3 linked regions of the Arabidopsis thaliana genome follow. The protein of the gene in region 3 interacts with the protein of the main gene of each other region in a pairwise test. Each region holds a gene or a part of one and is shown on either strand. Other genes may lie near its edges.

What was found. The genes of interacting proteins can lie anywhere in the genome.
Region 1: the proteins of AT5G10210 (region 3) and ABCI8 interact in a two-hybrid assay, tested with the Arabidopsis thaliana proteins (one large-scale study listed by BioGRID).
Region 2: the proteins of AT5G10210 (region 3) and ACS4 interact in a two-hybrid assay, tested with the Arabidopsis thaliana proteins (one large-scale study listed by BioGRID).

The regions. Positions count from the first base shown.
Region 1 is NC_003075.7:2,427,137-2,431,464, forward strand, and holds ABCI8 (ATP binding cassette protein 1), read right to left. Parts: upstream 2,764-4,328; 5' UTR 2,650-2,763; coding exon 1,195-2,649; intron 1,081-1,194; coding exon 862-1,080; 3' UTR 634-861; downstream 1-633. Other genes in the region: AT4G04760 (Major facilitator superfamily protein), read left to right, coding at 1-29, 272-386, 491-633; AT4G04775 (zinc ion binding protein), read left to right, coding at 3,984-4,148, 4,219-4,328. UniProt on the Arabidopsis thaliana protein: Involved in light signaling, probably by mediating the transport and correct distribution of protoporphyrin IX, a chlorophyll precursor, in response to far-red light.
Region 2 is NC_003071.7:9,717,053-9,721,273, reverse strand, and holds ACS4 (1-aminocyclopropane-1-carboxylate synthase 4), read left to right. Parts: upstream 1-1,679; 5' UTR 1,680-1,801; coding exon 1,802-1,948; intron 1,949-2,050; coding exon 2,051-2,182; intron 2,183-2,249; coding exon 2,250-2,410; intron 2,411-2,498; coding exon 2,499-3,483; 3' UTR 3,484-3,672; downstream 3,673-4,221. Other genes in the region: AT2G22820 (uncharacterized protein), read left to right, coding at 1-43. UniProt on the Arabidopsis thaliana protein: 1-aminocyclopropane-1-carboxylate synthase (ACS) enzymes catalyze the conversion of S-adenosyl-L-methionine (SAM) into 1-aminocyclopropane-1-carboxylate (ACC), a direct precursor of ethylene.
Region 3 is NC_003076.8:3,204,399-3,207,660, reverse strand, and holds AT5G10210 (nitric oxide synthase-interacting protein), read right to left. Parts: upstream 1,522-3,262; 5' UTR 1,426-1,521; coding exon 832-1,425; 3' UTR 682-831; downstream 1-681. Other genes in the region: ANN6 (annexin 6), read left to right, coding at 1-74, 166-681.

The DNA.
Region 1 (4,328 bases), on a different chromosome or scaffold from region 3:
GATCAATACCATGGATCATAGCATCAGAGGTAAATAAATATTTAAAAAAAGTTTAAAAATATATCGCAGACATTTAAATTATGTTACACTCATTATAACAATTATGTATCGCATACATCTAGATTTTTAAATCATTAGTTCAATAACACTGAATTTCATTAGAGTTTTTAAAATCCGTGATTGAATAACATCGGATTTGTAAATTTTACACAAATAACTTAAAATACTAGATTGAATACATCCCTCTTAATGTTTTTATTTTCTTTTCAAGATTTATCCAGTAGATGTTAAGGGAGCAGCGGGAACAATGTGTAACTTGGTCAGCTCTATAAGCGCATGGCTTGTTGCTTATTCCTTCAGTTACTTGCTTCAATGGAGCTCCACAGGTAAAAATCTTTAATACAATTGAACTAAAGTTGACAAAAAGTTGATTTGGTTACAATTTCTGAATTTTGAAAAGAGAGTTGTTAACTAAAAGTCTTTGTTGCAGGAACATTTCTGATGTTTGCCACAGTGGCTGGCCTTGGATTTGTGTTCATAGCCAAGCTTGTTCCAGAGACCAAAGGCAAATCTCTAGAAGAGATTCAATCTCTTTTCACTGATTCTCCTCCTCAAGATTCTACAATTTTCTAAACTTCTCCCACAACTGTATAAGATAGAAGTATGTAAACAAAAAAAGTTTATTGCAATATAGTTTTTACGTGATTCACAAATATTAACAAACACCTTTCACAAGATTCACATGAAACTACCAAAACATTACAAAATAATACAAAGTTTTACTCAGAAGAAAAGCTTTATTGAGAAGAAGCACAAAGACCACCCCTTTTTTTTTGCTGTTCTGTAATTATGAGTTTTGTTTTAACCCACTGATCCTTCAAGCTTGATGCTCATAAGCTGGTTAACTTCAGCTCCAAACTCATCAGGTAACTTGTTGAAAACATCTCTGCAGAAACCAGAGATCATTGCCGCTAATGCTCTCTCGTGATCGATTCCTCTCTGCTGGAAATAGAATAGCTGATCTTCTCCAATCTTAGAGGTACTCGCTTCGTGCTCTACTTTCGCCGATGGATTCTTTACCTGTTATTGTTCCAGACCAACCACAAAACAAAAGTGGAAATCAATCACAAAAGAGCAAAAAACTTTACAGCTTTCTCATAGCTTATAATAAAGATTGGATCATTGGCAATTTACCTGGATGTAAGGATAGGTATTTGCAGCTGCTTTGTCTCCGATAAGCATTGAGTCGCAAGTCGAAGTATTTTTAGCACCCTCAGCTTTGGACTGCACCTGAACAAGACCACGGTAACAATTTCTCGAATGCCCGGCCGAAATTCCCTTTGAAATGATTCTACTTTTGGTATTCTTTCCTTTGTGAATCATCTTAGTCCCTGTATCAGCTTGCTGATAGTTATTAGTCAATGCCACGGAGTAAAACTCGCCAACAGAATCATCGCCTTCTAAAACCACGCTCGGGTACTTCCAAGTTATCGCAGACCCTGTCTCAACCTGAGTCCACGAGATCTTGGAACGATCCCCAGCGCAAAGACCACGCTTTGTGACAAAATTATAAATCCCACCTTTACCTTGTTCATCCCCAGCATACCAATTCTGCACCGTGGAGTACTTAATCTCAGCTCCTTTCCCACAATAGAGCTCAACCACAGCAGCATGAAGCTGATTCGTATCATAAGAAGGAGCAGTACATCCTTCTAAATACTCAACAAAACTCCCTTCCTCAGCAACAATCAAAGTCCTCTCGAACTGACCAGTCTCCATCGCGTTAATCCGGAAATAAGTCGAAATAGGCATCGGACATCTAGTGTTCTTCGGTATATAACAGAAAGACCCATCGCTGAAAACCGCAGAGTTCAAAGCAGCGTAGTAATTATCATCACTAGGCACAACTCTACCTAAATACTTCTTAATCAAATCCGGATACTCCCTAATAGCTTCAGATATCGAACAGAAGATAACACCAGACTTCTCTAAAGTCTTCCTATGAGTAGTAGCAATCGAAACACTATCGATAACCGCATCAACCGCGACATTAGCCAAACGTTTCTGCTCTGTTAAAGGAACACCTAACTTATCGAAATACTCAAGAAGCTGAGGATCAACTTCATCTAAACTATTCAAAGTTGGTTTCTTTTTAGGAGCAGAGTAATAACACATATCCTGGAAATTAATCGAAGGATATCTATTATCTGACCATTTAGGTTCTTCTAGTTTCAGAAACTTAGCATAAGCTTTGAACCTAAACTCAAGCATCCAATCTGGTTCCTCTTTCAATTTCGAAATCAAACGAATCGTCTCTTCAGATAAACCTTTAGGGATTGTGAAGGAATCGATATCTTCAACGAATCCGTACTTCTTATCGTAATCGAGATTTTGGAAATACTGTTGAAGTTTATCAGTTGAGCTAACGGTTGATGTACCTGATGATGATGATTCAGAAGCTCCGATGGGACGAGAATCGATTCCAACATCGGCTCTGAGTTTGAAGATCGGTCTCGTTGGATTTAGGGATTTGGGAGATGGGAATTTTAAGGATTCGGGTTTTGGGTGAAACCCTTTTGGTGATTTTGAGGAATCGGAAGTGGGTTGTGGAGAGAAGCTGGAGATACCGTTTGCGAGAAGAGACGCCATTGTTGTTGGTGTGGCTCTTAGGAGAAGTAAAAGAAGATTGTTTTTTTTTTTTTTTTTGGAGTCGTGTGTTAGAAAAAAAACAACGATTAGGAAAAAAATGAAGAAGAGATGAAATGTTAATATTTATGGAATTTTCTGAGCCGTAGATTGAAGATAGTCTCGTGTCAGCCACGAGACGATTTTTTTGTTGGATTTTCACTTTTCAGCTCAATTATAAACCACATACGTTTTCCACTAACTAATTATAAAAAAAAAATAACGTTGATCTCTTCTTTATTTGTTAAAAATCTCTTTTAGATATTAGATATTTTTTATACTTGGACAAAACAAACAAAGATATTAGATATTTTATAATCCGATTTACGGGTTGGTTTCTTGTTTTTGTTAATGAAAAAAAAAATTAGTTTGATCTTTTATTTCAAAAACTTAATAATATTTTATTTTAAAATTTGTTGGTTCATTCATTTCAGTTTAGTTTGGTACACTGAAATCAGTTTTAATTCTTTTTTTTTCTCATCTGAATTATATTAGAAACTAAAGTAGAATACAAGTTGAAATACATAAGCCAACAGACCAACGGAATATTTTGAGAAACTTAGCTGAAAAAAAGGAAGTAAAACCAAAAACATATATAAGGAAACATTTTAAACCAACGAAATTGAATCAAGAGACAAAATTCAAAAGAAAATAAAAAACTATGGGAAAAATAAGACCTAAACTTCTCCTAAAAAATGTGAACGCCGGAAACACCAATAAGATCGGATAGATTTTACACCGAAGTCAAAACTAATAGTAAATCGACAGAGAGGAAAGCAAGAAGCCGCTGAAACCAGAGACATAAGTACAAACACCATCACACCTCACCCACCAGACCGAGATAGCAAAATGTACTAGGGACAAGGCATAAACCTTGAAGATCTACTAGAGATAATTAAAGCACTAGACACAATCAGTATCGATTCTACTTGGGTTAGCTGATTTTCGAGCCATAAACTATTTCGATTCTCAGCTTTCACCCCCGGACTTTTGGGCCCTTAAATTTCCACCATCAACTTTCATATTCCCAAAATTACATCATCTACTTTCGGATTCATGCTTAAACATACATTTCCAATTGAACCATTCATTTAACCGGGATTAACCACAAATCCGCGTTTACTGTACCGCGATTGCGATTAACCCGACTAATACCCAGACCCGTTAAGAAAACGACGTCGTTTTCATTTCGTTTAACTCATCAAAAAGAGAAAGAAAACGACGTCGTTTTCATTCTTCTTCTTCTGCAAAATCGATTTGGTCGATTAGGGTTCTTCATTCGACAATTTTATAAGAAAATGAGCACCAACAGCTACTACTCATCCGCTTCCAGTTCAGGATTTCGTGTCTGTCCTCCTGGTGTCCCCTCGAAATGTTGGTGTGGAGAAGAGATCATTACATTCACATCGAAAACAAAGGAGAATCCATACCGGAGATTCTACCGTTGTGCGATAGCAATGAAGGTACACATTTCGATTTTGTGATATATTTGATTGATTGAAGGAGTAAATGATTGGAAATTATGTTTTATAGAGAGAAAATGAAGAGCACTTGTTCAAATGGGTTGATGAAGCTCTCTTGGACGAAATTAAGATGGTAAATGAGAAGTGTAAGAGAGTTGTAGAGAATATTAGTGACCTCAG
Region 2 (4,221 bases), on a different chromosome or scaffold from region 3:
AAAAGTCGGGACGGCTAACTACCGAAAAATATTCGGTCGATGAAACTTAATGTTTATGTAATGATTAATATGTTTCACAATAAATATTATCATTTTTGAATAAATTTTTGTTTTGAAATATTTATCGTTTTAGGATTCCAATATCGCTTTGATTAGAAATATATAGTTTGTTCCTTCTTATAATCAATAAACAAGTAATATGTTGGAAGTCCAAAAGCCAATTTATTGTTTGGGAGGTAAAATATCTGGACTTATTTTATAAAAATTCTGAATTTATTTTTGAATACCGTTTATAAATAAAAGAATGTTTTGTAACAACGACACTTTATTATTTAGGCGTGTATTAGAAATTTTTCTTTAGTTTGTGTGAACATCTTTACAGCCATATTTATATTGGAAATGCATTAAGGAGTTGTAGATTATAGTAGTAATTAATTGTTCATATTTAAGCCACAAAAAACATATGTTAATTAGCGGAAAGCATACCTCGTAAATGACATGTTTGTCTTAACTGTGAGCACTCACTTGGTGTTGTTAAGCTTTGAAAATGATCATATCAAAGTAAGCATTGTCGTAGTATATGTATTTCTGTTACTTTTCAAATCTTCCCTCATATTATATAGCCATTGATATCATAGAGGATGTGAGTTTTAACTTAATATTTACCCGTTTGAAACTAGCTATTTACTTAAATATGAATTATAATCTAGTTTAACTACCAAAAACATCATATGGGGACAAGAAAAAGTAATAAAACGTATGGAAAATTTTGTAGATGTTATAAATGGATAATTATTCAAGTGATAATCTATCACTTTGATCTTATCTCTTTATCCAATTTAATTACTTTGTCTCTAAGTGATTTGCTTCCAAAATCTAAGTGTAGTCTATCCTATTTCTATCTTATCCTATCATATAATCTTCTATATATATGTGAGTCCGATGTTGTAAAGCGTACGAGAGAGAGTAATGAAGAGTGAAGTGTTATATTGTTCTCTCGTCCACTTCCACTCTCTCTTTTATCTCTTACTTACTTCTTCGTAAGATCATTACATATAATAAATAATATTATTTATGTTTGTGTTATATTTAATAACAGTAAAAAGTTTTAAAACGTTGAAAAAATTAGCCGACATAGAATACAAAAGAGGGTTAGCATCGGGGGAGAAACGTGGACCAACATGATACACCCTCCAAAATAGTCCCCAAGTTGAAACATTGACATGTTTCGCTTTTTCTTTTCTGTGTATACTTTTTTTTTCTGTGGGTCACATTATTTAATATTTGTATACAAGCAGCTATTTTACATGGAGATTTCCTGTCGGTATAGCGTCCTCATTTCTCCATCGCTTCCACTTTTTTCCTATACTAATTTGATCTAATTAATTCATATGTCAAAACATTAAGAAAATGAAACTCGTAATTCATACTTGAATTTAATAGATTAATTAAAATGCTATTTATTGGCAAAATAAACTCGGTTTATATCTAAATTTTAGAATCACTAAAACTTTTTGCCCAAAAAAAAATAAAAATAAATCACTAAAACAAAAAACAATCAAAAGAAAACCCATGTTGGTAAATCGGATAATGAAAATAATTAGAATCCCCGTCCTTTGTGTATTTTGGCGTAGCATGAAACTATATAATAAACATGCATTCATTCTTAGACTTCTCGTAGCTTATCAACAACAACGCGCTCGATCTCTCTCAGCCTGTCTGACAACTCTTTCTCTAGTTCTAGAGTTTTCAATTTATTGTTGAGCCTTTTATTAAAAAAAAAAAAACAAGAACAAAAGAAATGGTTCAATTGTCAAGAAAAGCTACATGCAACAGCCATGGCCAAGTCTCTTCGTATTTCCTTGGTTGGGAAGAGTACGAGAAGAATCCTTACGACGTTACCAAGAACCCTCAAGGCATTATCCAGATGGGTCTTGCGGAAAATCAGGTAAACAAATATTATTCAACAGCATGTGATATATATATACTTATGTATATCATGACAGAGAGACTAATTTAAAGTATGTTTAATTTTATTGGATTTCTGTAGCTATGCTTTGATCTACTAGAGTCATGGCTTGCACAAAACACAGACGCAGCCTGTTTCAAGAGAGATGGCCAGTCTGTTTTCCGGGAACTCGCTCTCTTTCAAGACTACCATGGCCTCTCTTCCTTCAAAAATGTAAGATTATTAATTGTATTTATCAAATTTATTTGTAGGTTGCTGATCTTGCTCGAATGATTTTCAGGCCTTTGCTGATTTCATGTCAGAAAATAGAGGAAATCGAGTTTCTTTTGATTCAAACAACCTTGTGCTCACTGCTGGAGCCACTTCCGCAAACGAGACTCTAATGTTTTGTCTTGCAGATCCCGGTGACGCTTTCTTGCTTCCCACGCCATATTATCCAGGGTTAGTCCACTGTTTGCTTACACGTAAAATTTCCATCATTCCTACGAACTTGACTTAACTAAAACTCATGTTTATTTTTGTACTTCAGGTTTGATAGGGATCTAAAATGGCGAACCGGGGTTGAGATTGTACCAATCCAAAGCTCAAGTACTAACGGGTTTCGCATAACGAAACTTGCACTCGAAGAAGCCTACGAGCAAGCCAAGAAGCTTGACCTAAACGTCAAAGGAATACTCATCACCAACCCATCTAACCCTTTGGGTACGACAACAACCCAAACCGAACTCAACATTCTATTTGATTTCATCACCAAGAATAAGAATATACATTTAGTAAGTGACGAGATATATTCGGGCACAGTATTCAACTCTTCAGAATTCATCAGCGTCATGGAGATTCTAAAAAATAATCAACTCGAAAACACCGATGTTTTGAACCGAGTCCACATTGTTTGTAGCTTATCTAAAGATCTAGGCCTCCCTGGTTTTAGAGTTGGAGCCATTTACTCCAATGACAAAGATGTCATCTCTGCCGCTACAAAAATGTCAAGTTTCGGCCTTGTCTCCTCCCAGACACAATACCTACTATCCTCATTATTATCTGACAAGAAGTTCACTAAGAACTACCTTAGAGAGAACCAAAAACGGCTCAAGAACAGACAGAGAAAGCTCGTGTTGGGTCTAGAGGCCATCGGGATCAAATGTCTGAAGAGTAATGCGGGACTCTTTTGTTGGGTCGACATGAGACCTCTCCTTAGATCTAAAACGTTCGAAGCGGAAATGGATCTTTGGAAGAAGATTGTTTACGAAGTGAAGCTCAACATCTCTCCTGGTTCGTCGTGCCATTGTGAAGAACCGGGTTGGTTTAGAGTTTGTTTCGCGAACATGATTGATGAGACATTAAAGCTTGCTTTAAAGAGATTGAAGATGTTGGTTGATGATGAAAACTCAAGTAGAAGATGCCAAAAGAGTAAAAGCGAAAGACTAAACGGTTCGAGGAAGAAGACGATGTCAAATGTCTCTAACTGGGTTTTCCGACTATCGTTTCACGACCGTGAGGCTGAGGAACGATAGTCCGGTTTTTGTTTTGAAGTTCTTTTTTTTTGTTTCCCACACATTGCAAGTGATTCTGTAATTTTTTTTATCACGAGAGAGAGTGTAAAAAAATGGAAATGCAACGTGCTTACTCTGATCCTAGATTTTAGAAAACCGTTGAAGACTTCTTAGAGCAAGTCCATCGGCAGTTTTTAATGGGTTTCTAATGGGTTTCTAGCTAATTAAAAGTCCAAAATTAAATGAAAACCCAACTAAATAATTAGGATCCATCCCAATATTAGGTTTTTTGGATGGGTTTTTAGACGGCGACGTGGTCGACTGTGAGTCGTCGGAAAACAAAAAAAATCACAACACTCATGTTTTCCTTTTTCCTCTCGTTTTTCACTTTTTTGTTTTGTCCGACGGCCGGCGATTCGAATCGATTTGATCTCCGGTGTATCGAACATGAAATCGGGAGAGAAGAGCCAAATCATCGACGACTTGGTTCACCAATTCCATTCTTCGAACCATACTCATATAAGAGTTTCTTGGCTTCTCTCTAAAACTCTTCTAATTTTCTGATATTGTTGATTATACATCCTTACCCGGATGTGAAGCCAATGGCATATGCAAACAATGATTAAAAATGTTTTCTCTTCCTTTAAGCTTATCCAGCAACAGTTATTCTCATGTAGATTCAGTTTTTCCCTTTTTCAAATTTTTTTGTTTTAAAAACCCACTTAAAGATTCCACCAATGAACCATAAAATTTTCAAAA
Region 3 (3,262 bases):
AAGCATACCATGTTCGCTACAAGACCTCTCTCGAGGAAGATGTTGCATACCATACATCTGGAAATATCCGAAAGGTAGTGAAAGATTTATGTATATCATTCTTTAAACCAATTAGTAAGTTTCTGATGATATGTTGTTTTGTTTTGACCACTTGTAAAAATGCAGCTATTGGTTCCTCTTGTGAGCACCTTCAGGTACGATGGAAATGCTGATGAGGTCAACGTGAAGCTGGCTAGATCCGAAGCTAAGACACTTCACAAGAAGATCACTGAGAAGGCTTACACTGATGAAGATCTCATCAGAATCTTGACAACAAGGAGCAAAGCACAGATCAATGCAACACTCAATCACTTCAAGGACAAGTTTGGAAGTTCCATTAACAAGTTTCTCAAAGAAGATTCGAACGATGATTATGTTCAATTACTCAAAACCGCGATCAAATGCTTGACATATCCAGAGAAGTACTTTGAGAAGGTTCTACGTCGAGCCATCAACAGGATGGGAACAGACGAGTGGGCACTTACTAGAGTGGTCACTACAAGAGCAGAGGTCGACCTGGAGCGGATCAAAGAAGAATACTTACGCAGGAACAGTGTTCCTCTTGATCGAGCCATTGCTAATGACACTTCTGGTGACTACAAGGATATGCTTCTCGCCCTTCTTGGACATGACCATGCTTGAAACAACATCATCGTTTCATAGTCTTTTATAAGACAGTTGTTATTTGTTTTTCATTTTCTTTGAACTTTGGTCCTTAGTTTTTACATTTTACTGCAACAACTTATTCTGGTTTCTTTGAATCATCTCTTCTTTAAATTTTATTCTTACAAACTAAATCCCAGCTAACGCACAAGCTACAACAAAAGCTTCATAATCTACGCAGTTACATGTTCTACAATCTTTACACTCACAAAGATCTTCCACTCTCTTAGTGTTCACGATTTTTGAAGCTTGCACTTTTAAAGCTATCTTCAACAAAAGAGGTTTATGCTTATCACAATCTTCCAGAACGTGATCTTTTGTCTCATCCATCACTACAAATCTCTCTATTTCCATCCCATCAGTCTCTATAACCGATTTCCAAAAAATCTTTCCTCTACCCACCAACTCTGATTTCGACCACTTCTTCAAAAACGGCGTCGTTTTCCTTCTCCGTAGTTCGAAAACAACACTTTGTTGCTTCAATTCCTCGACCGCGGTTTCGTTCCCTTGGCACTCCAGACCGAATGATTGGTTCCAGGAAATGACCTCACAGTCTGATCTCGAACGGATCTCTGGAGTGTTTAGTTCAATCTTACTGTTATTCCCTGCATGGAGATAGAACCTAACGAAGAGAGTGGTTGGCGATGACTTGAGCTCTACGTTTCTAGCTTCCACGATTTTCACTTCAAATTTAAGGGAACGAATGTTTTCAACGATACCCATTTGCTTGAAAATTTCGAATCGAACCAAGAATATATTATTTACCAAGGTAATAACAATTAGAGCAAATTTAAGAGCAGTGAGTTCCTTTGTGATGAATATGTGCATGAACAAATTCTCACTAGCTATTTATATAAATCTATGGGGAATGTTCGAGGAAAGTTTACACTAGATTTCCACATTGTACTTATTAAAATATTCTAAATTTCTAATCATGTTTTTAACTTTTTATTTTTTTCTAATCATGTTAGTGAAGGCTTAATATTTTAGAAATTAAAACTCTTGAGCATCTCAAAAGACCAAGGGTCGATTTTAATAATGACTCTTGCCCATAGTTTTGGGAGATAATTAGATAGATACGTAGGATCACCATATAAAGAATTTTTATAATTTGCAAAAAGAAATTAAGGTGTGCCATTTTGAAGACTTGATCATTATTATATTACATTTCGCGTGGACACATCCAATAGCCGAAAGTTGTTTTGGAACAGAGTCAACAGAATCAAATTAAATAAGAACAAATTATTAGTAGATACATTCGATTGCATATATTAAAATGAGTATGGAATTTGACTCAAAAGATATAATTACAAAAAATATTAGCCACGAATCCCATGATCAATTGTAGTCATACAAGATAGACTTTATTACATAAGAAAATCTCCAAAAAAACTCTTATCACACAATTCATTGTTGACAAAAGTTTTGTATACTAATAATATCATCTATTAAATTTTACAAAAACAATTTTAGTTTCAACTGGTTTTAAATTATAGAAAGAACAAATCATTGCTAATAAGCATAGTCATAAACTCATAATCATGCAGAAATTGTGTTTATTTTGATCATCTCAAGGGTAATGGAAATGTCAATTTAGGTTACTTTCGTTACTATTTACTTTTTTATCAAACACTTTCGTTACTATTTAAAAAAATCTAAATCCTAATACTAACTTACAAAACCCAAATCATTATTTTCTATTACAAAATTTAAAAAATACTTGGAATTTGAAAGAAAAAAACGTTTTTACAATACTTACTTGTAGTGGGTTGCTCATAGTTAACCGAGTGAGTGTTTTCTTACATAATATGAAAGGACAGCATTGTTTTAGTTCATATCATCCGTTGGAGTTATCCAAAGGACAGCATTTTTAAACTTAGTGTACCAATTTAGAAAACGTCACTGCAATTTGCAAAAAGACATCAAAACTAAGAAGATCATCTCAAGAGCCTGACGTAAAAAAAAGGTAAATAGTGGCTTGGTACATATCCTCTTTCCTCCAATCAAATTTCACTCTTGTGTCAATATCGACTATGCATATGATCCTCGGTGGACTAAATGCAGATCTTCCATTTTTCAAAACTTTTACTTTACAATATCGCAATCCAATAAGCTAAGACCCACAAAAATTCTCTATCTTTGTACAAATTTTTTATTACTGTATTAGCTAACGTGCGAATATCCATTTAAAATGTTTTTTAATCTACAATCTCGGCCAATCATTGACCCCCAAAAAAAAATATCTCTCTCAATCACAAATCATTTCTTAATATAAGGAAAAAATATTTTTTTACAAATTGGAACTCCTCTTTGTCTCTGAATAAATACACCACAAAATAAAAATAAATAAAATCACTGAAAAAACAAAACAATTGTTCCTTTCTTCTTTACTCCTTCAAAATGGATAAAATTTTACCACAAATCCTACAATCACACAAAACTAAATAAAGAAACGAAAAAAAAAAAAAAAAGTAAAAGAAAACTTACGATATCCATGAAGCAAGTTTCTTGCTTGTAAAAAAGACTCAAACCCATTCAACGTCTTCTCTGTTCTTCAACT